Rattus norvegicus: one gene and its partners. The protein of the gene in region 1 interacts with the protein of each later gene in a pairwise test. Links are inferred from orthologs where the notes say so. Each region holds a gene or a part of one and is shown in the gene's direction. Other genes may lie near its edges.

The links.
Region 2: the proteins of Ubac1 (region 1) and Rnf216 interact in binary tests that used the Homo sapiens proteins (3 or more experiments, as listed by UniProt). The link is inferred for Rattus norvegicus from reciprocal best matches to the Homo sapiens genes UBAC1 and RNF216.
Region 3: the proteins of Ubac1 (region 1) and Cpsf6 interact in a two-hybrid assay, tested with the Homo sapiens proteins (2 studies listed by BioGRID and IntAct). The link is inferred for Rattus norvegicus from reciprocal best matches to the Homo sapiens genes UBAC1 and CPSF6.

What each region holds. Positions count from the first base shown.
Region 1 is NC_086021.1:29,235,413-29,245,836, reverse strand, and holds part of Ubac1 (ubiquitin-associated domain-containing protein 1), read left to right. Parts: intron 1-4,789; coding exon 4,790-4,910; intron 4,911-6,092; coding exon 6,093-6,166; intron 6,167-10,424.
Region 2 is NC_086030.1:16,582,432-16,592,855, forward strand, and holds part of Rnf216 (E3 ubiquitin-protein ligase RNF216), read left to right. Parts: intron 1-1,732; coding exon 1,733-1,863; intron 1,864-4,025; coding exon 4,026-4,835; intron 4,836-6,220; coding exon 6,221-6,297; intron 6,298-8,740; coding exon 8,741-8,843; intron 8,844-10,374; coding exon 10,375-10,424.
Region 3 is NC_086025.1:54,858,245-54,868,668, reverse strand, and holds part of Cpsf6 (cleavage and polyadenylation specificity factor subunit 6), read left to right. Parts: intron 1-3,043; coding exon 3,044-3,253; intron 3,254-4,755; coding exon 4,756-4,859; intron 4,860-7,396; coding exon 7,397-7,542; intron 7,543-8,329; coding exon 8,330-8,503; intron 8,504-8,629; coding exon of another isoform or gene 8,630-8,740; intron 8,741-9,167; coding exon 9,168-9,672; intron 9,673-9,969; coding exon 9,970-10,085; intron 10,086-10,424. UniProt on the Homo sapiens protein: Component of the cleavage factor Im (CFIm) complex that functions as an activator of the pre-mRNA 3'-end cleavage and polyadenylation processing required for the maturation of pre-mRNA into functional mRNAs.

The sequences.
Region 1 (10,424 bases):
GACCCAGTTCCACCTCTGCCTCTGTTCTGGAAACCAGAAACGTAGACTTCTGTCCCAGACTCCGCCCCAGCCCCCCAGACTCCCATCTGCCCGGACACTCCTCTCTCTACCTAGAGGATGCAGCCTGCTGTTCCCAGCCTTCGCTTCTCTGGGCAGGGGCAGCGCCTCCCGCTCCTTTTCTCTAACACCTCGAATCACAAACCTAGCGGCTCAGAGAAGAGCATCTGACCCAACTGTTGGGCTAGCTTTATTTAATTTCTGCAACGTGCTACGGAGGTGAAGGCGAGAGTTGAACGGAGACCGGGAGAGGCAAAAGCAAGGGCTTATGGTTTTCTTGTCTTGGGCTTGCCCGCTGTTGGGATAAGGTTTTAGTTTTCTCCAGAAGCTGGAAGTAACTAGATCCCATTATAAGAGGGACAGCTTCTTGCCTGAAGAGCCAGCTGCTAGGAGCCTGGATTTGGCACTTAGCTGTAGTCACTTAAAATAGTGCCACTGTGGGACAAGTCCCTAGGCTTCTACCTTCTGCTAGGGCAACAGTTGATTGAGTGGGAAGGTCCAGGACAACCGTCTCCTTGCCAGCAAGTGGCATTTAAGTTTACTTACATTCAGTGAGCTTTGTACTATAGTTAGCCTTTTAGTTTTAGATAGTAAAGTCTTGGGATTAGTTCTTGAAGCCTTCCTGGCTCTAACTGCTCTCAGTTAAAGGTGAGACAGATACCTGTTAAACACTGGTGGTCTAGGAAGCATTATACCAGACATGATTAGTGCCAGAATTTATGTTGAAAGTCCCCTGCTTTTTAAAGGGGACTCTTGGGAAAGTTAGAACTCTACAGTGGTAGGTCGCATTAAAGTTCAGCATTGTGTTTCCCTCTAAAGATGATCTTTGAGTTACTGTAGCAGCTGCTTGCAAAGGCTAGTTTAACATCCGTGTGCCTCCTTCCTGTAGTCAGTGTGTAATGATGTCAGGTAGGCTCCAAGAGATCTACAGTGCATTAGATGTTGAGTAACCATGGGTCTTGGTGTCTGTGGTTCACCTCAGTGAGGCCCTAGGGTGAACAAATGTATTTAGATTGCCCAAGGAGTCCTCAACCTTTAAGCTTGTGCCCAGAGGCTCAGCACAAGCTTAAAGGTTGGGGACTCCTTGGGCATCCAGACTGTTCCTAGCATCCTCGCTGGTCTAGTACTATGCTGTGTCATCCCCTAGGTCTAGTTCCTCAGGGCTGAGCTTGGAATACCTTGAAGCCCGTGTACGGATTGAGGGAATGAAATGTGTTGTTAGCCTCAAACCACGTCAGCATGGGATGTCACCTTCACTGCTGTGGTGTCTTGTCTAACTCACTCATGGTGTAGACTTACATAATCAGCATGACACTATTTTATGAAGGGAGTGAGGAGACGATTCGATTCATAGATGCTTATTAATAGATTTTAGGAGCAATGGGGTTAGGCAGAAGGTTTTGATATGATGCTAATTTGTGATACTTAATATTCTAGTTGACATGTGGAGTTGTATCATTTTGACCATTTTTGTCATTATTGTTTAAATTGAGACTTTATTCTACTCCACATTCTCCAGGTATGAGGGCTGAAGCAGCAGGAGAATTTCACAGCACATGAGCTGTTGTAAAATTACAGGACTAGAGAGCAGAGGCATCAGAATTGACCCACCTCCAGGTCCCAGCAGCTCTAGGAGTTACAATGCATTTATTAGAAAAGAGGACTTTCTTGTTGTACCTGACTGTGTACCTGGAAACCTGTCCTGCATAAGATGTTGCTGTCTTGACTTGACTTCCTTTCTCTTTATTCTCCTGTGCACACAGGTTACTGGGGTTGTTATTACTATTATTTTTTCCTTCTTTCTTTCCTCTCTTCCTGAGGGGTTTGATAGAGTTTTTTAAAATTTTTCTCCCACAGGACTCCTTGATACAGTACAGCTTGTTATTAAAATTCTTAAGGAAATAGACTTGTTTTTGCCTTCCCTTTTTTTTGTTTTATCCAAAGTGACTTCACAGTGATATTCCCCAGCTTCCACTGCCTATGTCTGGGAAGGGGGCACAGTAAGCCCTCCTTTCTGACGAGGGTTAGTAGTGGGATGGTATGATGGAGCTGCAGTGTGGAGGAACTTTTCTGTGGTATCAAGCATCTGGAGGAAGCACAGGACTTCTCTTCCAAAGCCTGAACTGTCCCAGGTCCTGTGGAGATTCATGCCCTGTCGTCTTTCCATGCTATACACTAGCAGATATGAGCAGAAGCTAACGACAGTCACCTACAGGATATGTGCGTGCAAGCATAGGGTTGTGGTGGTGTGTGGTGTGACAACCTATGACATGTCTTGTTCCTCATGTGCTGCTGGCATGCCTCAGAGTACAGATACTATTTTTTAATTGCATTTCAGACTGTATTCTGAACTTGACAAATATGCTAGGATTAGCCAGGGATTTTAGAATTTCAAAGCATCCCACTTAATATTTTTGGAAGCAGAATGGGTGTTCCACTGTTTAGGGGTGTTTATTTTGGCTCATGGTTTGAATATGGTTCTTTATGTGGTAGTGGGCCGTGGGGTGTAGTGGCAGGCGGCTGTGTCGTTGGGAGTCTGAGGCCGCTTGCTCACGTCTTTGGATCAGGAAGCAGAAAGGGCAGTGCTGGCGCTTGGTTGGCCGACTCCTCTGGAACTCCAGCCCTTGGGATGGGGCTACAACATTCAGGCTTGGTTTTCTTCCCCTCATTTAATTCTCTATGGAAAGCTCTCATAGGCATCCAGCAGTGTGCCTTATCAATGCCGTAGGTGTTTCTTAATTCAAACAAATTTAAGATCCATTTTCAGGTTCAAGGAAAGTCATGTTCTCTGCTTAGTCACAATGGTGAAGAAGTCAGTTGTTGTGGGGTGGATTTATCTCATAAGCCCGTAGTAACCTTTGTCTGTGTATGATGGTCCACTTTTTAAAACTGGTCCCAGTCTGAGACTGAGATTACAGGGTCTAGAGGGAAATGCATGCTTCAGTTTTTCCTTCTCTTCTGGTTAGCAGCCATATATACGGAGGCCCTTTGTTGAATGTATGCATCATGGTACCCGAGATGCCTTCCAGAACACCAGGGAAGGCCTGAAGAACCCTGTGTCCTGAATGTGCAAGGTGGCCCATTCTGAGACAGGCCAAAGCTTCCTCCTCCTCCAAGCCTGTGTGTCAGCCCCTTTCAGGTTTTAGAAAGCACTAGTGAGTCCTCTGACTGGGTTTCCTGGACTTCTTCCATTCTCAATCTAACACCAGGGACCCATAGTGGCAAGAAATACTTATAGCCCTTGGCCTTGTTCTGAGTCTGGAGAGGGCTGAAACTGACTTGGTATCATGTGTAGTATGTGGACCTGAGAAAGTCATGTGATGCTGGGCAGTGATGGACTTGTAGAAACGTCTACAAACTCGGGTGAGTACACCTGGTGACAGACACACAGGCACAGTGAGCCCCCATTTGTGCTATGTGGTACCAGCAGTGTGTTCTTGGTCTTTGTGGGACTCTCATTGGGGACAGTGTGTTTGCATTCTGTGTGGGTGAGTGCTGGAGCCTGCTGAGATTATAAACTACGTTTGCCACGCCTCTGTCTACAGTCTGGTGGAGGATTGAAGGGACTGCACAGCCTCCACTCAGTATGTGAAGTCATTTGTCATGAGGCAGATGCCTGTGAGATCACCTGCTGGGTCCCTTCAGAGCACCGGTGGTTTGCTTCCCACCTCCTCTGCTGATGCTGTCACTAGGGTCTAGGGCCCTGAAGACATAAGCACTGCCGTGTGCTCCCTGGTCTCCTGGAGTGTTGCTTGGGCCCAAGGCTAGCTGAGGCCAGTTGTACCCTGTGACCTGCTGAGGACTTTTTGGTAGTCAGTGGGCAGGTGTCGCCTCCTTGCTCCTGGAAAGTGGTGGTCTTTCTGTGCAGTTCTTCTGCCTTTTGTGTGTCTGCTAAAGAAGGAAAAACAAAGCATAAAGCAGCTAGAGCTTCAGATCCTCAGGAAACAACAGGCATATATTCATCTAAAAGTCATTCTCCAGATCTTTCCAAACTGAAGTGATTTGGGTTGCAAGTTCTTTTTTTTTTTTTTTTTTTTTTTTTTTTGGTTCTTTTTTCGGAGCTGGGGACCGAACCCAGGGCCTTGCGCTTCCTAGGCAAGCGCTCTACCACTGAGCTAAATCCCCAACCCCGGGTTGCAAGTTCTTATCAGTGGGATCTGTGTTCCCAAGCTCTTAGCCATCCCAGGAGTCTACTGTGGGCTGGAAATAGGCTTGAAAGTGTGGAGGGATTGTGTGTGGGACTCTTTACTGTCGTTAATGCTTTAATGTCTTGACTGGTATGAAAATGCAGTAATTCCATGGGTTGGGTGATGGCGCAGTTGGTAACATGGCTGCTATACAAGCATGAGGACTTGGGTTCGGATCCCAGTACCTGTGTAAAAGCCAGTGGCAGCAGCATTTCTGTAACCCTAGCATTAAGGTAGGGGGAGGACGAGCTTGTTGGCCAGTCAGCACAGTTGCATTGATAAGTCAGGTTCAATGAGAGATACTGCCTCATAAATAAAGTGGGTAGTTGAGGAAGACCGCCCAACATTAGCCTCTGGCTGCCATATGCTTGTGGAAACACATATACCTACCCACATGAAAACACATATTCCTACACACATGAAAACACACATATCCAGGACACAGAGACAAAAACGACAAGAAACCTCAGTAATTCCATGGGTGGCTTGAGATGTATCATAATTTACTTCCAATTTAGAGATTTGTGGCTTAATTCTTCCCCCAGGGTGCTCATGGGAGCCTAGAAGACCCCAAGAATGTGACTCACCATAAGTTAATACATGCTGCTTCAGAGAGGGTGCTGAGTGACAGCAAAACGATCTTGGAAGAAAACATCCAGGACCAAGGTAAGGAGGCCATGAGGCGGAGTCCACGGAGCATGGAGCCTGTATCCCAGGGTCACCCACAAGGCACTTTTCCGAATTTAGACAAGAGCAGGAGAACCAGATTGACTCCTTTTTTTGTTGTTTTGTTTTTAATTAAAAGTAGTGCGTGTGCTGGGGATTTAGCTCAGTGGTAGAGCGCTTGCCTAGCAAGCACAAGGCCCTGAGTTCGGTCCCCAGCTCCGGAAAAAAAAAAAAAAAAAAGTAGTGCGTGTTTGGTTGTACTTGTGAAAAACAGCAGAAACCTAAACCGGACAACTGGCAGACATCTGAGAAGCCAAACTCAAGTGTTAAGTTTAGTCCTGTTTTAAAGCAAAGCCAGATTCTGGAGCTCCTTTCTGTGGCTTTATTTTTGTGCTGGAAGTACTCCTCACAGGCTAGTACTGTGGCCAGCTGTTTGAGGGTCCGAGTGCTTTTGTTCTGCACACCCACTTTTTATTTATGCTTGGCTCTGGGACAAAACTTGTTTTCAAATAAGGACTTATGATGAGCTATGACCAAACTCAAAATGGAGGGGGAGGTAACCCCACGTCCCCTCCCCCACCATGGTGAACTGGCTGTAGGTTGCTCATGCTTTAGAAGAGCCCTTGAAAATAAAGACATTATGCAAGATGTCCACTAGTGCTCTGTGTGGTTATCAGGGATGTGCCGTGCCTACCTCTGAAGCCTCAGGTCATCTATAGTGACCTAGTGACCACTTCAAAGCTGAGGAGGGGATGCTGGCTTGGCTTAGGAGGGACCCAGGATCCTGCTTTCTAACTTCAAGCATTAAGCACTATTCTTGTGTGTCAGGTGCATATGTGGTTTGTGTGTGTGTGTGAACACACAGATATGTATGCATGTGTAAACATGCGTGTGGAAGTCTGGGTTGACATCTCTTAACTCATTGAGGCAGAGTCTTGCTGAACCTAGAGCTTGTCTATACAGCCATCCTGGCTAGGGATTCCCAGTCTCTGCCTCCAGGTAGTACAACTCCGGGCAGGCTGCCTGCCCATCTGTCATTTACGTGGTTCTGAGGATCTGAACTCTTGCATAGCAAGCCTGAAAACACGGAGCCATCTCCTTAATGCCCATCTAGTACCTTTTATGTCATTTTTGGCTGTGGGACAGTAACTTACTTCATCAGTGTAATTTACTTTTTTCTAGACGTCTTGTTATTGATAAAGAAGCGTGCTCCTTCCCCAATCCCTAAGATGGCTGATGTCTCAGCAGAAGAAAAGGTAAGTTTCAACATTCGGAACTAGGGCTCTTCACTGCTAGGTGTCTCTTATGTGTCAGACTTCAGAGAAGTCCTTGAGTTATTTTCTGGGAGTGTATAGCCCCTCCACAGTATGTGTGCTGTAAGGAGCCTTTCATCATGGCTGAGCCTGTTCCCTGAGTGTGTTTGTGATTGCTAAACAGCAACAGAAGAGCTGCCACTGGTCTGGAGGCAGAAGAGAGTGACGACACGGTTCTCGAAGGTGCTACCTCCGCACTGCTGCTAGTGTGGCTCTTGCACACAAGGAGCTGGCATGCAGAGAGGTGACAAGCAGCTGGTTGGGCCTGTGTATTTCCTTGTAGTTATGCTGAGTTCTATGTCCTGAGGCCTATGTTAGAGGATGATCTGTGGCTTGCACCTTCTCTTCTCTAGGGGCCTTAGGAAAACTACCCCTTTGTCTCTTTTGCCCCAGAGCACATCCTTCAGCAAAATTCTCTAATGCAGTGCAAGATGTATCCTGTCAGTAGCCTGTCTACTCTAACAGCAGACCACATGCCTGTGCCTAGTGGGGAAATTGTTTATAATATTATTTTTTTATTTGTGTATTTCTGTGAGTCTGTGCCTGCAGAGGCCAGAAGAGGCTTTCTGATCCCCAGGAGCTAGAGTTATAGATGGGTGTGAGCCTCCTGAAGTGGGTGCTAGGAGCTGAGTGTAGGTCCCGTGGAAGAGTAGCAAGCACTCTTTTTCTTTTTCTTTTTTTTTTCGGAGCTGGGGACCGAACTCAGGGCCTTGCGCATGCTAGGCAAGCGCTCTACCACTGAGCTAAATCCCCAACCCTGCAAGCACTCTTCAGTGCTGAGCCATCGCTCTAACCCTAGGACGTGCTCTGCTAAGGGCAGTCACCTGTGTTTAACTGTCTCAGGGCTCTGGAGTTTTTTATACGTGCGTTCAAATGCCAGGGAGTGAGCGTTAGTCTTAGGGAAGGATCACACCAGCTCTTGGGTGGACCTGTGACCTGATAGCACACGAGTTATTTTGGGATCTCTACTGGGGCCAAGGATGTAGGAGAGTGCCAGGCCTTCTCACCCTCCTTATCTTTGGCCACCTGGCCATGGCGATGGGTGGGTGTGGGTGTGGGTACAGTCAGCAGCACATGGGCAGGCTGCCCCATCCATCTTCACCAGACAGATCCTGGGCCTCTCCCTGCTTTCCTAACTGATAGATAGCAGAGCTCGGATTACAGCTCTAACTGGATGTTCAACTTGAAGTCCCTGTAACTATTAAGAACATAGTTCTGGGGCTGATGAGATGGCTCAGTGGGTAAGAGTACTGGCTGCTCTTCCAAAGGTCCTGAGTTCAATTCCCAGTAACATGGTGGTTCATGTTAAGGGGATTCAGTGCCCTCTTCTGGCAAGTGGGTATACATTAAGAATACTCATTAATAAGTAAGCTAGAAGGGGCTGGGGATTTATCTCAGTGGTAGAGCGCTTACCTAGGAAGCGCAAGGCCCTGGGTTCGGTCCCCAGCTCCGAAAAAAAGAACCAAAAAAAAAAAAAAAATAAGTAAGCTAGAAGCTTGCTAGAGTTGCCTTGACACAGTACATAACTGCAAAGTTAAAAATCATGGCATTACTTAAAATTCTAAGTCAAAATAATGCAGTTATTAAGAGTCAAAGAATACTACAAATCTAATAATAATTGACTCAGGTTTCCTGAAGGAAGTCACTCAATTTGTCAGTGTTGGGGACATATTCTGGCTGCCTTATGCATGCCACTGGCACCCCAGCCCACCTCTAATTCCTTCAGCTGTTATCCTCAGTAATTCTCTTCCTGCTCTCTAGGTACTCTGCATTCATTGCTCTTTCTGGAATGGCAGCGTTAGATGTGCCTCTTAGTGATAAGGACACAGCTCCACTCCTAGGCTCTTCTTGTGTGACAGTGAATGCTGGGCAAAGCCAGTCCTATTTACTTACTGTTGTCATCGAAGCACTCATTTCTGTGAGAAGTATAGAGTATTAGGATTTCTTTTTCCTCTTGAGCCTTGGGATGTAGCTTAGTGGTTGAGCTTTGTCTTGTGTGCCTAAGGCCCTCAGAGGCTTCTAGCCTATGTGGATTGTTTGAGTTGCTACCCACCGTGCAGCCAGCTCTCTGATTGTCTTTGTGTTGGATGTTGGGTTCCTGTTGCCTCCTTTGGTTGCCACAGAACTGCTTTCTGAGCGTAGTTCTAAGGCTTGTGAGGACAGAAGGCTCAGCTGAGGTTGTGAGAAGAATGTGCTTCTGGATTCTTGCAGACAGTTGACAGGATTCTGTCACTATGGTCAACCTTTAGTTCCTGAAGGCAGTTTGCATGGCTTTTCATCTTTGCCAAGGAAGCAGAGATTTTAGTGGTTGAACCCCCTTGTTGGAAAGAGTGATACCCTTTGTAAGGGTTCTAAGTGCCAGGCCCAAAAACCCATTTGCTTTTTCTACATTTAGCTGTGCCATGTGATGAAACCCAATCCAAGGACTGATCACCTCGCTTACATCTTAGGGTTTTGCAGACTTGGGGACTGTCAGCAGGAAACATGTGGCTGTCTGAGTTCTGTTCTGCAGAATTGAATACCGTCTGTCTTCCTTCGGTGTGTCAGACTTGGCATCACTGTGACATAACACCTATGGGAACATCCTAGAGGAGGAAGGTCTTATTGTGACGTACACTTTTCCAAAGTTTCAGTCTGGGATCATCAGCTGGCGTCACTGCTTTTAGGCTGTAACCATGCAGATATGTGGTAGAAGAACCTGGCAAACAAAAGCTGTCCACTGCATGCAGTCAGGAGGTAAAAACGAGTGACAAGGAGGGACAGACATACTCTTTAAAACATGTATCTGGGGGTTGGGGATTTAGCTCAGTGGTAGAGCGCTTGCCTAGCAAGCGCAAGGCCCTGGGTTCGGTCCCCAGCTCCAAAAAAAAAGAAAAAAAAAAAAAAAAAAAAACACGTATCTGCAGCCGGGTCCTGTGCACACCTTTAATCCCAGCACTCAGGAGGCAGAGGCGGGTGGATCTCTGAGTTTGAGGCCAGCCTGGGCTATGGAGCAAGTCTCAGACAGCCCGGGCTTCACAGAGAAACCTGTTTGGAAAAAAGCAAACAAGCAGAAAGACACATCTTCAGAGCCACGCTTCCTCTGACCAGGCTCTGCTCTCCATAGTTCTGCCGTCTAACAGCTCCTCAGATGTTTAGGTTTTCAGATAAGGCCTCGCTGTGTGGCTCTTGCTAGCTGTGCTCCTGTGTAGTCGAGGCTGACTTTGAACTGGTGGAGGTTTTTCCTCCTAAGTGCTGCTATTACTCCTAAGTGCTCCTAAGTGCTGCTGGTACTGATACGCACCAGCACACCTGCTTTCTCTGATTGTTCTTGATAATCTCTTTCTTGCTTTCTTTCTCTGCAGCTGCTGTTGGCTGGCCTCATGGGCATCCTGTGGATTTCTTAACTGTACCTTCTACCCATTCTCTAGCCCTTTTACCTGGCTGCTTTGGCTCTGGCTGGTGGCACCCTGGTGTGCACATACTGGGTGGGTGTGGCTTGGGGTTGCTGGTACTGAGGTGCCCACCTCCCCTACCTGCTCCTCTCTTCCTCCTCACTACTTTTGTTTTTCCTCATCTTGGTCTTGGCAGTGTTCCTTATACCCTAGACTCTGAGAGCCCTCGGGGCTTGTGTAGGTGCTGAGCTCACTGTGCAGAGACCTTGTCCCCTTTGTGTCTCGTCTGCCCTGGTTGACTTGCTGAGTCTGAGAAGCTGGGGTGAACAAGAAGTAGAGCAGTAGCTGGGTTCAGGAAGGGTCCCTTCCCTCCCGCCATCCCTTCTTGAGTGCAGCCACTCTAGGGTCTCAGGCCAACCAGGCTGCTGTTGGCCAAGGGTGTGAGAGGCAGAGGTACCATTCTGTCTGGCTCTTGGATCCCAGGCCTGCTCTCTCTGGCTCCAGTGTTGTGCTGTCCTTTGGTAGGTTGGTCTAGCCTTGCTCTTGGTAGATTCTGCCCTGTGGGCTCTTGGCATCAGCCATGGCCCCAGCCATCCTCGGTGTGTATCTTCTAACCATTCTGTAGCTCGTTTACCTGTACACAGGTCTCTTCCTGTACCTTCTGAACTTGCTGAGTACTGCGGCCACTGCTGGTTTTGTTTTCTCGCCTCCTTCCTTATCTGTGAGCCTCTGCCACCTTGGCTTTTACTTTCATTCATGGAGGCGTGGGAGGCCTCCAGGGGTCACTGCAGCTGTGTGCTTCCCCCGGAGGCCTCCCCCAGCCCCGA
Region 2 (10,424 bases), on another chromosome or scaffold:
GCTTAGCAATACAGTTTGTTTCCCAAGATTGAACATGTGCTTACTCTGTGACTCAGAATGTCCATTCCCAGACTGTCCCCAACTGAAAGGAGCACCTCAAAGCATGTACATACCAGCAGTATCCAAAATAGTCCACATCAGCACCAGCTCAGATGCCCATCACAGGAAGAATGAATTGTTTATGGTACATTCACAGCAGATTCACATGCAGCAAAGAGAACTGTCATCACAGCAGTGTGGATGTATCCCAGGCATGCAATTTACAAGAAAGTGAGACACAGGAATCCCAACCAACCAAGCCTCATCTGTAGAGTTGAGTAGGATAGAGGGTGGAGGTGGGAAAAGGCACAAGGAGCCTGCAAAGATGTAGAACTATTTCCTGGTTTGTCAGGGTTCCATGGTTGTGGAACCGAGCCCTTGATTTGTAGTGTTTGCTTGCTTAGGCTACACAGTGAGCTCCATACATAATGGAACTACAGTGCAAGACCTTGTCTAAAGGAAAGACAAACATAAAAGCAAAGTCATGGCTGGGGATATAGCTCAGTGGCAGTGCTCTTGCCTAGCCCTGAGAGCTCTGCAGCCTCGCAAGATGGCTCGGTGAGTAAAGTTGCCCGCTGAGCAGGACCTGAGCTTGGTTTCTCCTCTGAGAGATTCTGCTCCTTCAGAATCCTCATAATTCCCAGAATCCTAAATTCCCAGCAACTGTATGGTGCCCCTCAATCATCTATAATGAGATCTGGTGCCGCCTTCTGGCCTATAGGCATACGTGCAGTCAAAATGCTGTATACATAATAAATAAAATAAGTCTTAAAAAATGCTGCATGGCTTCTTTATAAAAATGAGAGCAGGTAACTTAAATTGCCCAGTGTCCTAGATGCCAGATGATTGCTCAGTGGATGCTAAATGTTTGATTCAAATGGAAAAGTCTGCTTAAGTAGTCTGTATAAAGTAAACTGATTTTTAAATCTTAAGTAAATATATTAGTATTTTTGAGCATCCTTTCATATGTAGTTGTTTAACAAATCAGTCTCATTTCTACAAAAACTATATATGGGGAGTCTCTAAAAGCTGGCAGTTCTATGACAATGTCATAATAAAATAATTTCATATATGAAAAACATTTGCAGTTGGCCTGAGGACATAGCTCATTCAGGAGACTTGGGTTTATGTTTGTTTTTTTGTTTTTTTGTTTTTCTTTTTTTTTTTTTTTTTTTCGGAGCTGGGGACTGAACCCAGAGCCTTGCGCTTGCTAGGCAAGCGCTCTACCACTGAGCTAAATCCCCCAACCCCATGTTTGTTTTTTTGAGGCAAAGTATCACTCCCTCAATTTGGGTTCTATATCTTTCTATGCCTAGAGGATGGCCTTGAACTTCTGATCTTCCTAGTGCATCGATGTACCCAACTAAACAGATTCTTTTGAACAGATTCAGTGCCTGTATTTCTAGTACTCCAAGGGCTGAGGTGGAGGATTGAGTATAGTCTGGTCTTCATAGTATCAAGCCAGCCAGCCAGCCATGGGTATAGCATAAAACCATGCCATAAACCAAAACCAAAACCAAACAAACCCCTAACATAGAAAAAGTTGATACATTTTGCCTGGCATCTCTCAGTGTTATTGGCAAAATCAGCATGGAAGCAGTTCTTACTCCTTGAGGCTGTGTGCACTGTCGTGCTAAGTTAACTGCTGAGGCTTGGCCAACTGAGTGAGCTCATGCTTTCTACCTCACTGTAGAGTGGATGGCTGTCAGAGAGGGGCCCATCACCATATCTGACTCCTCTGATGAGGAAGGGATTCCAATGCTGGTTACCCCGGCTACTGAGCAACAGGAAGACGACCTGGATGATGATGTCATCCTGACAGAAGTGAGTGTTTTCAAACTGTCCATAATGAAAACAACCTGTTCCCATCTGCCTCTTGTGTCTTAGTGTTAACCCTCTCTGTGACCTGTGCCCTTTCTCCTTCTGTTACCACATTACTACTCTCACTTCTTTACAGTTAACCCATAGTATATATAGTGCGCCTTACTATAACAACTTAATTCCTTCATAGTTCTCAGGTGCCTCCACCCCGACTTATGCATTTTTATGAACTTGATGCTGACTTTTTGAAAATAGTTTGAGTTTTATTTCTTCATGGTTTTGAATATATGGAAAAAATTTAAAGTCTATTCTTTTTACTTCTGTAGATTTTCCAGTTTCCCTTTTTTTTTTTTTTTTTTTTTTTTTTTTTTTTTTTTCGGAGCTGGGGATCGAACTCAGGGCCTTGCGCTTCCTAGGCAAGCGCTCTACCACTGAGCTAAATCCCCAACCCCCCAGTTTCCCTTTCTATTTTGATTATTTTAGTCCCACTTTTTCTTTTTTTTCTTTCTTTTTTTTTTTTTTTCCTTCCTCTTCTTTTTAGACAGGGTCTCATATAGTTCAGCTGGCCTGGAACTTGTTATAGAAATGACAGACTCATCTCACTTCCGAGTGCTGGGGTTAGGAATGCATGGTACCATACTGGGATTTCTCCTGTTTATAAACTAACCATTGTTTTCCCTTCCTTTCTTTCTAATCATTTTTCTTAAGGTTTATTTTTATTTTTATGTGTTTGCGAGAACAAATGCCACATGTGTGCAAGTGCTCTTGGCCACAGAGGACATCAGGTGGCCTTACAGGCATCTATGAACTGCCTGATGTGGGTGCCGAGAACCAAACTCGTCTTTTGGAAGAGCATCAAGTGTTCTCTAACAACTGAGCCATTTTTCTAGTTCATTTTCTTGGTTTTACTCATTTTCTTCACCCAAGACACAACTCTGAAATGTACCTAGTGGTACTTGCATTTATTTTCTGTTTTGGTCTTTTGTAGTTCTGCTTTTTCATGTTTGACAGACTTCATTTCTTAAGTGGTTCCTTTACTGCTTTAGTTTTTTTTATTTTGTGTTTAGCCTCTTTTTTTTTTTTTTTCCTTTTTTTCAGGACAGGGTTTCTCACTAGATCAAGCTAACCTCTAACTCGCAGAGCTCTGCCTGCCTCTGCCTCCTGCATGCTTGGATTAAAGGCATGCACCCAGCTGCATGTTCCTGTTACCTCTCCTTATACCTTAGTGGCTTGAAGCACATTGTGCATGCTCTTAAATCACCTCATCAGTGGCTTACGGTTCAGTGTAATTGGGAATTTTGCAGATATCTTGTTTGTGTATACAACCAATGATGGTCTTTCGCATTGTACCTTTTGACTATCATGTAGTTGTGCTGTAAACATTCATGTAAAGTTTGCGTATGACTGTATGTATTCATTCTGTTTGTGTATGCCAAGAGGTAGAGTTGCTGCATCACTTAGAAACTGTTGTATCCTGCCAGTGGTTCTGCTACTTTACATTCTCACTGGCTTCTAGTTTTCTCTATGTTCTTGCCTATACACGCTCATGACCGCGTATGTTACGGTTGTGGACCAATGTGTGAGGGTTCATTCACTTACAGACACATGTGAAAATCTTGAGGGTTGCTGTCATTTTCTGTTGTTCTCCACCTGCTTTTTAAAGGCAGTGTCTGTCAGCGAACCTAGAACTTACCGTTTTGACTAGACTGGCAGGCCAGGAGGCCATTGCAATTTGCATTTTTCTGCCTCCTTGACATTGGGATCACACATATACTGTCCCTGTATTTTGTCTGTATGCTGGGCATTAAACTCAAGTCCTTGTGCTTTATGTATCACACTTTAACTGGTGAGCTGTCTTTCTAGCCTCTACTTTGGACATAATCAATTTTCAATACTAAAATAAATGTGAATGGTATTTATGATGCTGCAGACCTTTAGTCCCAGCACCTAGAAGGCAGAGGCAGATAAATCTCTGTGAGTTCAAGGCCAGCCAGGTGTACTCTGAGCCTCCCTACCTTTAAAAAAAAAAAAAATGGGATAGTTTTTTTCCCTTGAGATGCTTCTGGTTTTATTTGTTTTTTATCCTTTCATTACAAGCCCAGAACCAGGCATAGATACAGGAAGGACATTGAATTTTTATTATTAAAATTTCATTTTTTTCTTAGACACATAAACCTCAGACATCCCGGCCCAATCTCATCAAACCAGCTGCCGAGTGGCAAGATCTGAACAGATTGGGAGAAGAAAGGCCTAGAAAATCTAGAGCAGACTTTGAAGCAGATACCCACAGCTATTTTTCCTTTTGTAACAACTCATTGTTTGATTCTGGGGCACAGGATGATTCTGAGGATGAATGTGGTGGATTTCTGGATCTTAAGACTGAGAAAAAAGGAGGAGAAGCCAAACCTGGACCAAGCAATAAGCAGACAGCAGACAATACTGTCAGCCCCAGGCTGGAGCAGAAAGTCATTATTTTGGGAGAAAATGGTCTTCTTTTTTCAGAAAGTGAGCCTCTGGAAGTTCAGAACCAATTATCTGAAGACTCAGAGACAGATCTTTTATCAAATCCTGGTGAGCCAGCTGCCTCAGTAGATGAGCAGCTAATTGAAGAAGAGTACTGGCTTGACCATCCCTACTTCCAGGCTCTGAATCCACAGCCTCAGGAGAGAACAAACCAGCTTGTGCCCCAAGAGCGACATTCTGAATCAGAAATGGGCCCAATGTTTTTCCGCCATGATTTCCCGGAGCCAGCTTTTCCAAGGCCAGAACCCCAGCAGGAGGGGATTCCAGGACCCGCTTCTCCACAACCAGCCCATCCTCTAGGAGAGCTTGAAGACCAGCAATTAGCAATTGATGAAGACCCTGGGCCTGCCTACCCCCTGCCAGGACCCCAGGAGGCCAATTTGGCAAATGTGTGGGGACAAGAAGCTGCTGAAGGGGATCAAGAGCTCATTCCACTGTTAGTGAAAGAAACGGTAAGGTCATTTCTTTTTATTAAAGAATGCTATGCTACTAATACTGATACTATACATTTGTTTTCTGTCATTGCAGTAAAGAGATGCTTTGTTGTATAAGTAAGCTTTATTTTCCAAAGAAGGACATACCTAGGGTGAAAGAAAGGAACCCAGATAGCTAGACAGCCTACAACCCAGCCTGTGCCCTCTACCTCCAGGGAGGGCTCTTGGTGCTAGTTGTACCTAATGGAGCCTGATGCTGTCATTCTTGTAAACTCCTGTTTGTCAAGGCCTTATGTTCCTGTTTATTATATTTCCTAGCTCTGGGCCATCTAATACAGCAACCAGTAGCTCTTGTGAGTATTGTAAATCTCTGAGAGCTGAATAAAGTTACATTCTGTTTCCAGTGCATCAGTCATCTTAATAGTCGTGATTCTGTAGGATATCTGCAGTAGAGAGCAAAGCAGGCCTTTGTTTTCTGAGATCAGCTATTGCTTGCCTTCCCTAAGTCTCCTAATTTGTTAGGTCTTTTTATTTGACCCTGGGGGTAGGGGGTGAGTTTGAAGGCAGGTGTAGGGAATGTTCCTTTCTGATCTCTGGCCTGTATTCTCAGTGTTTGTTCGAAGGATGGAGAGTGGACAGGGTAGATGACCTCTAAAGGTCTTTGTAGGCCCCATCTGATCTGGGGACTAGGAGCTGAGATAGGAAGGTAGGTAGGTAGGTAAGAGATAGATAGATAGGTAGGTAGGTAGATAGATAGATAGACAGATATAAAATTTATTTTTAAGTTATGCACTATAGATATAAATTTTATTTTTAAGTTATGCACATTGGTGTTTTGCCTGTGTCTATGTGTGTGTGAAAGTGTCAGATCCCCTGGAACTAGAGTTATAGTTGTAAGCTCCCATGCGGATGTTGAGAATTGAACCTGGGTCCTCTGGAAGAGCAGCCAGTGAGTGCTCTTAACCTGAACCTCCTTTCCAGCCAGCCCCTATATACATTTTTTTTTCCCCCCTGGAGCTGGGGACCAAACCCAGGGCCTTGCGCTTGCTAGGCAAGCGCTCTACCACTGAGCTAAATCCCCAACCTCCCTATATACATTTTTAATGGTTGTTGTTGTTGCTAGTTTTTTTTGGGGGGGGTGTTTTTATTTTTTTTAAAGACAGTATTTTCTCTGTAACCTTGGCTGTCCTAGAACTCACTCTGTAGACCAGGCTGGCCTTGGATTCAGAGATCCACCTGCCTCTACCTCTCAAGTACTAGGATTATAGGCAGCTCTAGGGGCACAGGGCTGCTTTACAGCCATTCTCCGGTTTTAAGGCAATTTGTATACTTTCTGCTATTTGATTTTTATTATCTTCAAATCCATTCTAAGGAACAAAATATAAATATTTCTTTCTTTCTAGGAAGCAAGATTTCCAGACGTAGCAAATGGATATGTTGAAGAGATAATTCATTTGAAAAATTACTATGATTTGAATGTGTAAGTATTCTACCATGCTTGCTGCCAGCCCCCTCACCCCCCACCCCACCCCTAGTTTCATTGCCATAAAGAGACACCATGACCAAGGCAACTCCTATAAAGGAAAGCATTTAATTGGGGCTGCCTTACAGTTCCAGAGGTATGGGCCATTATTATCATGGCAGGAGGCAGACATGGTACTGGAGGAGCTGAAAATTCTACATCTTGATCCTCAGTCAGCAAGGAGAGACTATTACTGGGCATGGTTTGAGCATAGGCAACCTCAAAGCTCACCCACACTTCTCCAACAAGGCCACACCTCCTAATAGCGTCTCTCCCTATAGGCCAAGCATATATAAACACATGACTCTATGGGGGCCATCCCTATTCACACCACCATGCTCCCTCTTTCTCTTTTTTTTTTTTTTTTTAAAGATTTATTTATTTATTATATATAAGTACACTGTAGCTGTCTTCAGATACATCAGAAGAGGGCATCTGATCTCTTTACAGATGGTTGAGCCACCATGTGGTTGCTGGGAATTGAACTCATGACCTCTGGAAGAGCAGTCGGGTGCTCTTAACCGCTGAGCCATCTCTCCAGCCCCCCCTCTTTCTCTTTTTGTTGGTAAAGTATAGGTAACATTTTGGCTATTTTTGAACATATAGTTGAATGGTATTATTAAACACATTTCCCATTACTGTATAGCGCTCTCAACTGTTGATCTCCAGAACTGGTATCATCTTAAACTGAGGCTCTCCATTGAACACTTAACTTCCCCATCTCTTCCCAGCCTCAAAGCTCACTGTTCTTTTAGCCTCAGGGAATTTGATTAAGGATAAAACTCTTTTATACCCGAACAGACTGGGAAAGACAGGCCTTGGAGTAGACTTTGAAAAAATATTAGCAGCTACTTTTCATGCCTTTTTAATGATGTTTATTTTATTTATTTTTTGAGGCAAGGTTTTACTGTGTAGCCCTGGCTAACCTGGAATTGAGCTGCCTCTGCCTCCTGGGTGCTGGGATTTTAACAATGTATGCCACTATTTGCAGCTTCTCATTGTCTCCAACATATGATCCCCCCTTGTAGGTCCTCTTACTGGCATCTTGGTGAGAAGAGGACCCTAGAAAGGGACTTCTTTTCTCTGTTCTCTTCTTGCCATATCTGTTATACTGTTAAGAGACACACTACTGACGTTGGATAAGAAAGGAAATGGGTGAGAGATCTAAGGGAGCTGATTCTACAAATCTGCCATAGCAAGGAAAGGAGCAAAACACAGAGGAAAGCTTACTTCCCTATGAGCTCACACTTTCTGCTTTTGAGCCCCACCCAGGCCAGCCTCCGCACTGACTGCTGTGCTGGCCTTCTGTCCAGCCTTCTGACTTGGCTTGGTTACGAGTGAAGAGCCTGGATAGTTGACTTTGCTTGAGTCTTGACATTGGTGCGTCGTCATGGGTTAGCTTGTGCTATCTCATCTTAGCTTGAAGCATTTCAACAGTGATGTAGAGTAGAGGAAGCCTCAGGCTTGATACTAAGAGAGTCTGTCCTAGAAGACATGGTCTGCTGATCAGTCTTGGAGTTGGCTGATAAGCTGAGACTGACGCAGTACCCAGAAGCTTACTTTACCACAACAGGATGCAAAGGACACTGATGTTCTGGAGTTCATTTATTTGCTCAGTAATTGAACTTGATCGCAAATGTGTTTGATTGTGCACTTTCTCCTCTTTATATGTGCTCATAGTTTCCTTGAGGAGTGGCCACTTTCCTTCTCCACTCTTGTTCTGTGCAGTTTAGGTGGTACTCCTTGAAGTGTCATCCTCTGGAAGTTAAAGCTCAGAGGAGTCTGCATCTGTCAGTGTGCTCAGTGTTTTTGTTTTGTTTGAGTAGAGTCTTCCCGTGCAGCTTCAGTGGTTGGGAGTTAAGCCTCCTGAGTGCTGGGGTTATGTTTGTGCACCATCACTTCTAGCAAAATGAAATCAGAGGGCTGCTGTCCTGGTCTTTGTTATTTGCTAGTTTGTCATGGATACTATATCTTAACTCTTTTCCCCTAAGTTGAAACAATGTCAAGTTTGAGATTCTCCTGCTGCTTCGACCTCAAGTGTAGGGATTACAGGAATGTGCCAACCTGGTATATCTCCCCCCCACCCCCTCGGAGCTGAGGCCTTGCGCTTGCTACCACTGAGCTAAATCCCCAACCCCAACTTGGTACATCTTTGTTTATTTTGTTTTTTCTTATTTTTTTTTTTTCGGAGCTGGGGACTGAACCCAGGGCCTTGTGCTTGCTAGACAAGCGCTCTACCACTGAGCCAAATCCCCAACCCCCCAACTTGGTACATCTTAATTCCTTGATAATTTAGTTGTCCTGTGTCTCTGAGACATTTTCCCCTCAAGTATTTTGTGATTCAGTGGGCAAGTCTGGGCTTTGGAAAGTACTATGTAACATTGTGTGGGTTACTTTGCAGACTTTGTAATTTTCTCCTGGAAAATCCAGATTATCCAAAGAGAGAAGACCGAATCCTTATCCACCCCAGCAGTAGCCTGCTTGCCAGCCAGGATGATGTGAAGGCAAGTATTCCTGTGGCTTTGCCACTTGGATCTGTTCTGCTCTGTTGCTGCTTTCCGGGTCATCCTGCTGACAGCAAGAGGTGCTGTTAACACAGGGCTTTACAGGCAAGCAGGAAAAATAACATTTCATAATGTTTGCAGACTCCCTGAAGGCTCCTTTTTGAAATCTTTCCATTCCCATAAAGAATTAAGCAAATTCTTGTGCCTTTAATTCTGCAGAGCAAGTTAAGGGAAAAGAATTAGCCAGTATTATTTGTGTTGTTCTAATAGTTTGTTTTTCTTAATGCTTTATAATTGTGGATTTATATAAAAGTTGAATGCTTCACGTGAATTGTTGGTGTACTACTCTATTGTACTGCTGTCTGTTACTGCTGTTCCTTAGAATGTTTCCATCCTAAATTGCAAAAACAACCACTTCCCTGCAAATACTTCAGCATGCACGTAGCCATTCTTTTTTTAAGATTTATTATGTACAGGTGTTTTGCCTGCACATGTGCCTACATGCCAGAAGAGGACGCTAGATCTCACTTTTGATGGTTGTGAAGCCACCATGTGGTTGCTGGGAACTGCTCTCAACCTCTGAGCCTTCCCTCCAGCCCATAGATAGCCATTCTTAAAAGATTTGTGTTCAACCCATTTAGCCAAATCTCATATCAAGATGTCAAAAGTTTCAAAACTTTAATATTTAGTCAATAATTGTGATCTACCACTAATGTTGAGTGTGTTATGTGGTTAAAAAACCCCACCCCAGATGATTCTTTTTTTTTTTTTTTTTTTTTTTCTTTAGAGCTGAGGACTGAACCCAGGTCCTTGTGCTTGTTAGGCAAGCGCTCTACCAGTGAGCTAAATCCCCAACCACACCCCCCCCTCCCCATGATTCTTAATGTTTAATTTCTGCTGGCTTTGCACTGACCAAAACAACTGTCGCCAACACCCACCCCTGCCTCATTGCCTCAGCCTTCTAGTGCAGAATTAACAGATAATGTACTTTTTCTTCATTTTTGTTTTAGTCTGGTCACCCTACAAAGTAATTATGAGCCCAGGCAAGAGTCTTTTTTGTAATATGTACTGTTTTAAAGATTTGGTTGGTTGATTGGTTGCTTTGCTTTTTCTAACGGAGTTTCTCCGTGTAGCCCTGGCTGTCTTAGAACAAGGTCTGGAGACCAGGCTGGCCCAACTCAGATAGACCTACTTGCCTTTGTCTCCTGAGTGCTGGGATTAAAGATGTGTGCCGTCAGTGCCCATCTTATTTGTTATTCTTTGTTGGGTAGGGAATGAGTTTGTGTGCACCATGGTGTGCATGCTGGTCCGTGGGGACCAGAAGACAGCCTTGTAGTCTCTGAAACTGTGGTTTTAGGTAGCTGTGAGTTGCCGAAGGTGTGTTGTAGGAACCAAACCCGGCTTCTCTGGAAAAACAGCAAATGTTCTTCACTGTTGAGGCCTTAGAGCCAGCCTCTGTCATCCCCCTCGTCCTCCTCTTGGATGAGTGTGCTATCTCACCTCTAACTTTATGCTTTTTGTCTCATTTCAGTTGCCTAAGATAGACTTTTTTGACTATTCCAAATTGACTCCACTTGACCA
Region 3 (10,424 bases), on another chromosome or scaffold:
AGATTAAAGGCATTGACATCATTCCCAACTGCCTAATAGCTGTTCTTTCTAGATATGCACCTTTATTGATGATTAGATCCTAGAATCATGAATAAGGCTGGGTGACTTTTGGAATCTGAAATTTCAGATGTATTGAAATTTTCCATTTTTGAACACCATTGAAATGTATTTGAAAAAAGACTTCACGTGGCAGAACTTGATGCTATTGATTGCCTTTCCCAGTGGAAAGGCTTTAGTTTATTTAGTAGGTCTTCAGAGCTCATTTTTATTTGACTGGTGATAGGCATTTTGCTTAATTTCAGAGTATATACATTTTCTACTTGAAGTAGTTACACTTGAATGTATTCTAGATTTTTAAAAAAATAATCTAAAAAGGGAAGAATACGGATACTTTTAAGTATCCTTTGAGGTGCTTTCTTAGCAATGGCAATATTTGTATCAGATTCATTAATTTTTTTTTCACCACGTCCAATGTATACCCTTGGGGTTAAGAATACTGTTTGAGGTCTTAGAACACAGCTAACTAGTCCATGTGGAGATCAAACCCCAGGACCATGGTCTCAATTAGCATCACTTTAACCACTTGGAAGCAATCCAACAACCAGACAAAATGGCTGATTATGGTCTTCCTCATGAATGTGGAAAATATGTTTGGTGTCACTGTAGGAAGTCGTGGGCATAAAAAAATAGCAATTGTAACGCCCAGGTTAGTGTAGCTTCAATTGTGGCTTATAAATGATGGTCTACTTATATAAACATTTTCACTTATTTATAACTAATGAAAAATTATATCTTAATCTTTTCCTGAAAGTAGAAATTTAAAAACTTTTAGTCTTGGTTTCTTTTTTACTCTCCCTCAGACTGTAATTTGTAATTAGTCGCTGCTGCCTGTGTGGTAATTATTCACAACTGCCTGTGAATAATTATAATAATTTTACTTGATGTTCAGAACCATGATTGTACAAGTGCCCAACTACAACGTTTCTTATATTTTTTAAGAATATGGAGCTACTGTTGTAGCCACATAACCAGAAAAGGTTCAGCTAACATCACAGAGCTTACCCTCCTTTTTTCTGAGTTTTACTGTCAATGCAGTTTGAGTAGCTCCTTTGTGTGATAAAAACTCATCACTGAGGTGGTATTTTAGCATTGTTGTGCATTAAAATCAATGGCATCATTCAGTGACTTATCTTAATTTCTGCCTTTTGCTGAAGGTGGCTTTTCTTTGATTTACCTTGATAACTTAAGTCTCATTAACTTACAGAATTATTTAACGTGTTAGCTCTTATTAACTTGTAAGTCTTAAGAGTTACAGACATCCTGCTTTGTGATAAGTAAATATGTAATATTAAATTTAGAAAGTTACATAGTTCATTATTAATGGTTATCTAACAAAAAACAGTGGAAAATTGAGGTCTCTATTGCTTTGTGAATATTGTTTTCTAGGTTTTTTTCTTCCCTTTCTCTTTAAAAATTAAGTCTTTTTTTTTTTGGCTTTTTGTTGAAAAGTGGAACAATAGCCATGCACTCTTGGTGCCTACAGTATCTTTTGATCATATAGCAAATTTTTACTTGGTCATCATTATGTTCTCTAAAACTAGCTCTTGTATGCCATTTATATGCCAGTTCCTAGTACATTGTACACATGAGAGATTGTTATGACTAGCTATCTCTCTCTCTTTTTTTTTTTTTTCTTTTCTTTTTTTCGGAGCTGGGGACTGAACCCAGGGCCTTGCACTTGCTAGGCAAGCGCTCTACCACTGAGCTAAACCCCCAACCCCTAGCTATATCTCTTAAGTTGCATTTTTCTCTCTCAGATTTCCTTCAGAAGGGTAGAATAGTTCACATTGATATTGGTAGGATAATTTGGTCGTGGAAAGGGATGTTGAGAAATTGAATTACTTTTTTCTTCCTCAGGTCACTTTCTTTGTTCTTTTCCTCTTCCTGGCTTATCTGCTAGGCATGTGAGTGACATCCTAGCAATGCTTTGATTCTGCTGGTGACAGTGGCAGTTGTACTAACTCCTATGTGTATACTTTTCATTTGCTAATGTACCTGGCTAGATTTTAAAAGTCAGGTAAGGGGTTGGGGATTTTGCTCAGTGGTAGAGCGCTTGCCTAGCAAGTGCAAGGCCCTGGGTTCAGTCCCCAGCTCCGGAAAAAAAAGAAAAGAAAAAAAAAAAAAGTCAGGTAAGTAGTAGCTCTTTGTTTACTGAGAGTAATACAATTATTGCAAGATATTATTTGAATAGCTTTATGTATTTTTTTTATTTCACTAGATAATTAAGACTTTGAAACATGTATATATCATATCTATCTCTATGTGTGTGTATTTTAGTCACCTATGGCTTAGCTTATAAAAACATTAGTAGGGGTTGGGGATTTAGCTCAGTGGTAGAGCACTTGCCTAGCAAGCGCAAGGCCCTGGGCCCGGTCCCCAGCTCCCGAAAAAAAGAAAAGGAAAAAAAAACCCATTAGTGTTCTCAGAGTAGATAAATAAGATCTGAATACCAAAGAAAAACTGGTGTCTCACATGTGGTCCGTAATAAAGACTTATAATAATACCTTTGTGTGTGTGTGTGAGATGGTATTATGACAAATACTCTTTGGAAACTTGTCTATTTGCATTTATGTGTGGTTATTTTTAAGAATATTTTCAAGGAAGGTATTAGTTAAGTCACCAAGAACACATCTATTATATAAAATAAGAAGAGACTTGTATTAAGATCTTTGGGCCTTTTCCTGTCTGAGATTTTTAAAATAAGAAAGTTGAATGAGGGGCTGGAGAGATGGCTCAGCGGTTAAGAGCGCCCGACTGCTCTTCCAGAGGTCATGAGTTCAATTCCCAGCAACCACATGGTGGCTCACAACCATCTGTAAGGAGATCTGATGCCCTCTTCTGGTGTATCTGAAGACAGCTACAGTGTACTTATATATAATAAATAAATAAATCTTTAAAAAAAAAAAAGAAAGTTGAATGAATCGGTATTCACATTTATTTACTATTCTGACTCATATAATCTAATGTTATTTCTGTATCTTAGGAAGCGGAATATGGTGGGCATGATCAGATAGATTTGTATGATGATGTCATCTCTCCATCTGCAAATAATGGCGATGCCCCAGAAGACCGGGACTACATGGATACTCTTCCACCAACTGTTGGTGATGATGTGGGTAAAGGGGCAGCACCAAACGTTGTCTATACTTACACTGGAAAGAGAATCGCATTGTATATTGGAAATCTAACATGGGTAAGTAAACACAGATTGTTGGCAGTCATTTGAACTGATCTAGCAGTACATGGTTTTGCCCAGCTTTTAAAAAAAATAGACATTACAATATAAAAAAATTAATTTTTTTCATGTTTGCCCAAGTGATGAGAAGGGCAAAACCAACTTCTTTTAAAAAGACATTGAAGTTAATATAATTTGGAATTTTGTAGCCTGGTTTGGGGATATTCTACTTGAGTTTGCAATTGTGTTCACTCACCCTTTTTACGTTCCTACCAGTTTCACCAAGAAAATTGTTCACGCAGGAACTCAAATTAGGAATTTAAGGTTATGGGACAAAGAAAGATAAAATGCCACTATAGTTTTAAAAATATTCCTTATTCTAATTCATATTATAAATTTAAGTTTCATTTCTGACTTTAATTTGAAATTAGTTAGAAGTTGTTAGACACTTTAAAATATTTGTTGCCTGGATATATTTTGTATTTTAATTGTGTTGTTGATAAGATTCTGAGACTATTGGTAAAATTCCTCATGAGCACTTGTCTGTTAACATCAGACCCTACAGTCACTAAAGCAGTTCTAGAAATGTCTTTATCTCAGCTATTATATTGGAAAGTTAAAAGTTATAGCAACATGTTGACTTCTACTCTGCTTATAGAATTTTATGTGAAAATATTTAACTTCACATCGTTTTATTGTCTTGATTTTATTTTATGTATATTGGTATTTGTGTATGCATGCTGATGCACCACATGCATATAGTCATTCAGGGGCCAGAAGAGGGTATCAGATTTCCTGGGACTGGAGTTACATGGTTGTGAGCCATTTTGTGGATGTTGGGAATTGAATTTGAGGTCCTCCATGGGGCCTTCTCTCTGGCCCTCACATTGACTGAGTCTCCTGTCATCCAGTCTGAACAGTCCTCACAAAATTGGAGTAATGGCAGTGTAACTTGAGATTTAGCTGCTAAATAATTGGTGGTCCACACCTTTAATCTCAGCACTGGGGAAACACAGGCAGGGGGAGCTCTGAGTTTGACGGCCAGCCCGGTCTACACAGTTAGGTCCAAGATTACATAGTGAGATCCTGTCTTAAAAAAACAAAACAAAAAATGGTGTTTTTGCTGGGTTTGGTGGTCCATGCCTGGGGAGGCTGATCTTGAGTTCCAGGACAGCCTGGTCTGCACAGTGAGTTCCAGGACAGCCATGGCTACACAAAACCCTATCTCAAAAAAAGTAAAAAAAGGAATTGGTATACGCTTATGTTTCGTGACTTTGAGTAAGGGGTTTATCCCAGACTCTGTTGCATCTTATGAAAATAGTGACTTAGGTAAGAGTTAAATGTTTGATATTAAATTGGTATTAGTTACCTACTGTAGTATGGTAGGTACTATACAGTATCTCTACTTAGATTTGCAAAAATAAAAAAATTTCCTTTATCACTTGTTTACCTTTAAATGTTAAATTCAGTAATAAAACCTGAATATGTCTTAATGGCTAATAAGGGGAAATGTCTTGCAGTGGACAACAGATGAGGACCTAACTGAAGCAGTTCATTCTTTGGGAGTAAATGATATTTTGGAGATAAAATTTTTTGAAAATCGGGCAAATGGACAATCAAAGGGGTAAGAATTTAATTTTTCCTAATGTAATCTGATAGTGACTACAAGTTAGTTTGCCTTAAGTTCAATGCTGATGACACACATGTGGATGACATCTCTGCACTGACAGATGGCTTAGGTAGTAAAAGTCCTTGCTGCACAAACCTGACAGTCTCAGTTCCTAGGAAGCCACATGAACACACTAGGAGGAAGATCTTAGGCAGAGGTTCTCACTTGAATTTTCTATTTTCTGATTTTTAAAAACACACAGAAGCTGCCTGAGATAGGACTGGACAGACTAGGCCTGTTTCCTGACTATACTGAGTTCGTTCTATATACTATATGTTCCTAAGATAGAAACAACTAGGCTAAGAAGTATTATTTTTGTTGTGATTTAAGTGATAAGGAAGTGTCAGATGGTGGTGGCACAAACCTTTAATCCCAGCACTTGGGAGGCAGAGGCAGGCAGGAGGCCAGCCTGATCTGAAGAGCAAGTTCCAAGACAGCTAGAGCTACAGAGAAACCCTGTCTCAACAGCCCTACCCCCATACACCCCCAAAAAGAAAAAAAGATAGCGAAGATCTGGGTATTTAGCTTGGCGTTGGAGCCACTTGCCTGATGTGTGGGTTTGATCCCAGTACCCTAAGAATAAAAGTGATGGAGACTAACTGAATAGTGCAACCTAGGCATCTTGTTCCATTTCTCTAAGATTATTATATGAGCATTGTATAATGCAAGTATCTAAAAGTAAGAAAGTGAATGTGTTTTCTATGCTTTCCTCTAAAAGATAGTATTATAATTCATATTTAGTCATGTTTGATTGCAAAGAGCAGGAGAAATGCTTGTGATAAATACATCTTTTCTTATTTTTGTGTATTGTTGTTTCTACTTGTGCCTCTTAAATAATACAGTAAGCACATAATTGGATCTTTTTACATTAATTTATTTTGCATGTGTATGAGTACAATACAGTACTTACAAATATATATTTACAAAGTTAAGCAACCATTGTAATTCTTCTAATTTCAGAATATTTCATCACCCTACCAACCCCACACCTCCACAGAAACCCTATGTCTGTTAGCATTAATCCCCAGTCTCCCTTGTACCCTTTGCTGATAAGCATTCATGTACTGTCTACTTCAGAATTTGCCTATTCTGGGTATCTTATAAATAAATTGTACTGGATATTTTATAATTACAATAATATTAATATCCCATGTGTCTGACTTCTTTGACCTGGTGTCATGTTTTCAAGGTTCCTCTGTGTGACAGCATCAGCATTCCTTTTTATACCTGAATGATAATCTCATATAATAGGGTAGCACTTAATGAGGAATATCCATCTGCTGAGGAATGTGTGGGTGGTTTCTACTTTTAGCTGTTAATGTGGTCAGCCTTAATAGTATACTGTTTTGTGTGAACATAAAGTTTTGCTTGTTTTGGGCATATATCTAGGAGTGGAGTTAGTAGGTTATATGGTAAGTGTGTTTAACTTTTGAAAAGCTGCCAGATTGTACATTCAACCATGCAGAAAGAAGGGTTGTAGTTTCTCATTACCTTACCAGTACTGAATAGCTGTGATTTTGATTATAATGGGAAATTGCATCTCTATGGTTTTGATTTGTACCTTGGCAGGCAGTGATACTGAGCATTAGTTCGTTATTTTATGTGTACAGGTGTTTGGCCTCATAGCCATGCAGACCGGAAGAGAGAATTGGCTCTCTTAAAACTGGAGTTATGAATGGTTGTAAGCCACCATGTGGTTACTGGGAATTGAACTTAAGTTCTGGAAGAAGTCAGTGTTGTTAACTACTGAGGAATCTCTCCAGCCCCTGAATAACTTTTAGTGGCAATAAAAAGTGACAACAACTCCAGTGCCTGCTACCTGATAGGTGGGCTTAAAGCAAAACCAAAACTGATATCTATAATGGAACATTACTCAGCCATGAAAAGGAATGAATTAATGATGCATGCTATAACATGACTAGATCTTTAATGCTCAGTGAAGCTGGTTGTAAAGAATTTCATACTCTATGAGGCATATCTATAGAGACAAAATAGATTCATTACTCCGTATGATTAAGAGACAAGAGTAAATAGGAATGTTGGTAGAGGCTATATCTTTGTTTTGGGTAATGATGTTATAAATGAACCTTCATGATGTTTGTAAAACACATGAATATACTTTAAAAATTATTAGAGTGTACATTGAGAGTGGATTCTGTAGTATATTATAAAAAGTAGTCCAAGTTTGTGGAGCCTTAAATAGTTTATTTTTTCTTCTCATAAAAGTAAATTAAGGGGCTGGAGAGATGGCTCAGCGGTTAAGAGCTGGTTGTTCTTCCAGAAGTCCTGAATTCAGTTCCCAACAACTACATGGTGGCTCCCAACCATCTGTAATGGGATCTGGCGCCCTCTTCTGTCATACAGGCATACATGCAGGCTGGACACTGTACATAATGTTTTCAAAAAAGATTAAGACCGTTTCTTTTTTTAATCAACAGCAACATTCTCAGTTCCTCCTTGCTTTTTATTCTTGCCCCCTTAACATCTTTTAGATTTGCCCTTGTTGGTGTTGGATCTGAAGCATCTTCCAAAAAGTTAATGGATCTTTTGCCTAAAAGAGAACTTCACGGTCAGAATCCTGTTGTAACTCCATGCAATAAACAGTTCCTGAGTCAGTTTGAAATGCAATCCAGGAAAAGTAAGCAAATCTCTCAGCAGCCTTTTTAAAAATGTATTTAAGCAGTGTTGCTGTCATTTGTTAAATATTACACTTAGGAAGTCATGTTACTATTTAATTTTACATGAACTTGATTTAATCATTGCTTATGACTATGGGTCAATATACTGGAAACCCACTCCCATTCCAGTTTTTTCTAGATAGACCAGTCAGTATGCAACAGTTTGAAAGCTCTCTGGTGCTGACATTCTTGTCCTGCCACTCTCATCCTGGAGAACAGAAGCTTCGTTCTAACCTTAGAGGAGGAGCCTCTACATGTATTATCTGCTCTGGTGGGGGAGAGGCTAATGAAGTAGTTACTGGGTTTTCTGCTTGCTACCAAGACCTTTTGCTGCTTGGTAAAATAAATATAGAAGACACTTGTTATTAGTAGAAATTCAGGTGGTTGTTTTGTTTTTTGGGGCATTTAATATAAGATTTATCTGAAGAATATATTACATGGCATAAAATAATCTGTTATTGAAATTAAGATTTCTTTTGAAGATTTTCTGTTTTGGCTATTGCAGAGTACTGGTATTTTAAAAGCAACTTGTTTATCTCTCAGTAGAAATACATTTAAATTTGAATATTTTAAGACTAGGAAAATATTTAAATAAATGTGAATGTTTTCCTTGCCAAGTACTTTAGGTCTGAGGCATCTAGAAATTGATGAGTAGTATAAATGAACTTTGAAATAGTCTCTAACAGCAGTGGTTACAACTCAGACACTTTTAATAAGTGCTATTTATGAGTATTTGGATGTTTGCAGCTACACAATCAGGACAAATGTCTGGGGAAGGTAAAGCTGGTCCTCCAGGAGGCGGTTCACGCGCAGCATTTCCACAAGGTGGTAGAGGACGGGGCCGTTTTCCAGGGGCTGTTCCTGGTGGGGACAGATTTCCTGGGCCAGCAGGACCAGGAGGGCCACCTCCACCTTTCCCAGGTAAAACTTTTTAAGTTATCATGGAGAAAACATGTCTGCCTAATACCTCTTTTCCTTTCTCTCTTTTTCAAGTAATGCATTATTAACGTGACTCACTCTCCTTGTTATGCTATTTTTGGAACCCAGGAAATTTGATCAAGCATCTTGTTAAAGGAACTCGGCCTTTGTTCCTGGAAACTAGGATTCCATGGCATATGGGGCACAGCATAGAGGAAATACCCATTTTTGGCCTAAAAGGTCTTTATTTTTCTCCACACTTGCTTGACTTTATATATAGAATATTTACATCCGTCTTATTTTCTTACTTCTTAAAAAATCCTTTCAAGACCATTTTCCCTGTTCCCTTGTAGCTTGGCATCAGAGTAGAGTGTAAAGTGGGCGACTTCCCTGTGAGAAGTGTGCGCTGAGAGATGGAAACTCAGTGTTAAAATCTTACCAAGTTCTCTGTGTAGTGATTTTCTGTAATCATAATTTGCACTAGTTAAATTTGTAAGGAAACTAAACTTTATCTTTGTAATTATTAGGGCATTACCCTGTGGGTTTCATTCAAAGAGCGAGTCATGGTTTATAAATTCTGCTTTTAGAAATGTATTCTTGACATGTAATGGTTAAATATCTTTATTGAAGTGATTTTTTCCCCCCTTTTCTCTCCTTTATTTTATAGCTGGACAGACTCCACCACGTCCACCTCTAGGTCCACCTGGCCCACCTGGCCCCCCAGGTCCTCCACCTCCCGGTCAGGTTCTGCCACCTCCTCTAGCAGGACCTCCTAATCGAGGAGACCGCCCTCCACCACCAGTTCTTTTTCCTGGACAACCTTTTGGGCAGCCTCCGCTGGGTCCACTTCCTCCTGGGCCTCCACCTCCAGTTCCAGGCTACGGCCCCCCTCCAGGTCCACCGCCTCCACAGCAGGGACCACCTCCACCTCCAGGCCCCTTTCCACCTCGACCACCAGGTCCACTAGGGCCTCCCCTTACACTTGCTCCTCCTCCACATCTTCCGGGACCACCTCCAGGTGCCCCACCACCAGCTCCACATGTGAATCCTGCTTTTTTCCCTCCACCAACTAATAGTGGCATGCCAACATCAGATAGTCGAGGTCCACCGCCAACAGACCCATATGGCCGACCTCCACCATATGATAGGGGTGACTATGGTCCCCCTGGGAGGTAAGTTAAACATGGAGTACTGAAACTCTTTAGTTGGTAAAAGATAAATTACTATGAAGTCTTTTATATTTTAGAAATATAGTTTTTGTCCTGTAGAAAGATCAGATTTCTAAACTGCAACAAATTCAGCTAGAAAAGGAGAATTTGATGTGATAGGGAAGACAGCTTTTTCCATCTGGAAAAGTAACAACTTCTCTAAAGCAAATGCCAAAAGCTGCTTATTTGGAGGTGTTTACATTATTATTAACTTGAGAACTTTTGTTAAGTAACAACATATCATTCCTTTGTCTTTTGTAGGGAAATGGATACTGCAAGAACACCTCTGAGTGAAGCTGAGTTTGAAGAAATCATGAATAGAAATCGGGCAATCTCTAGCAGTGCTATTTCAAGAGCTGTATCTGATGCTAGTGCTGGTTTGTATATTTGTTTCAGTCTTCTTTCCTATTTATGTTAAGAATCACCCTAAACCCAGAGGCTGGAGAAATGACTTAGCTGTTTAGAGCTGGCTGCTTTTCCAGAAGAACCCACCATCTGCTAATTCCAGTTCCTGGGGATCCAAGGCCCTCTCCTGCTTACAGTGCAAAGATAGACACGTGCCGTCAAAATACCCATACACAGAAAATTTAAAATTAAACGCAACCCAAAGCTAAGTGCAGCATATAAAGAATTTTCTTAATTCTTATGTAATCTGTATAGTTAGTCCCAAATCATCTGTCACTTAGTTTTAAAGTATTAAAGGAAGATTGTAATAG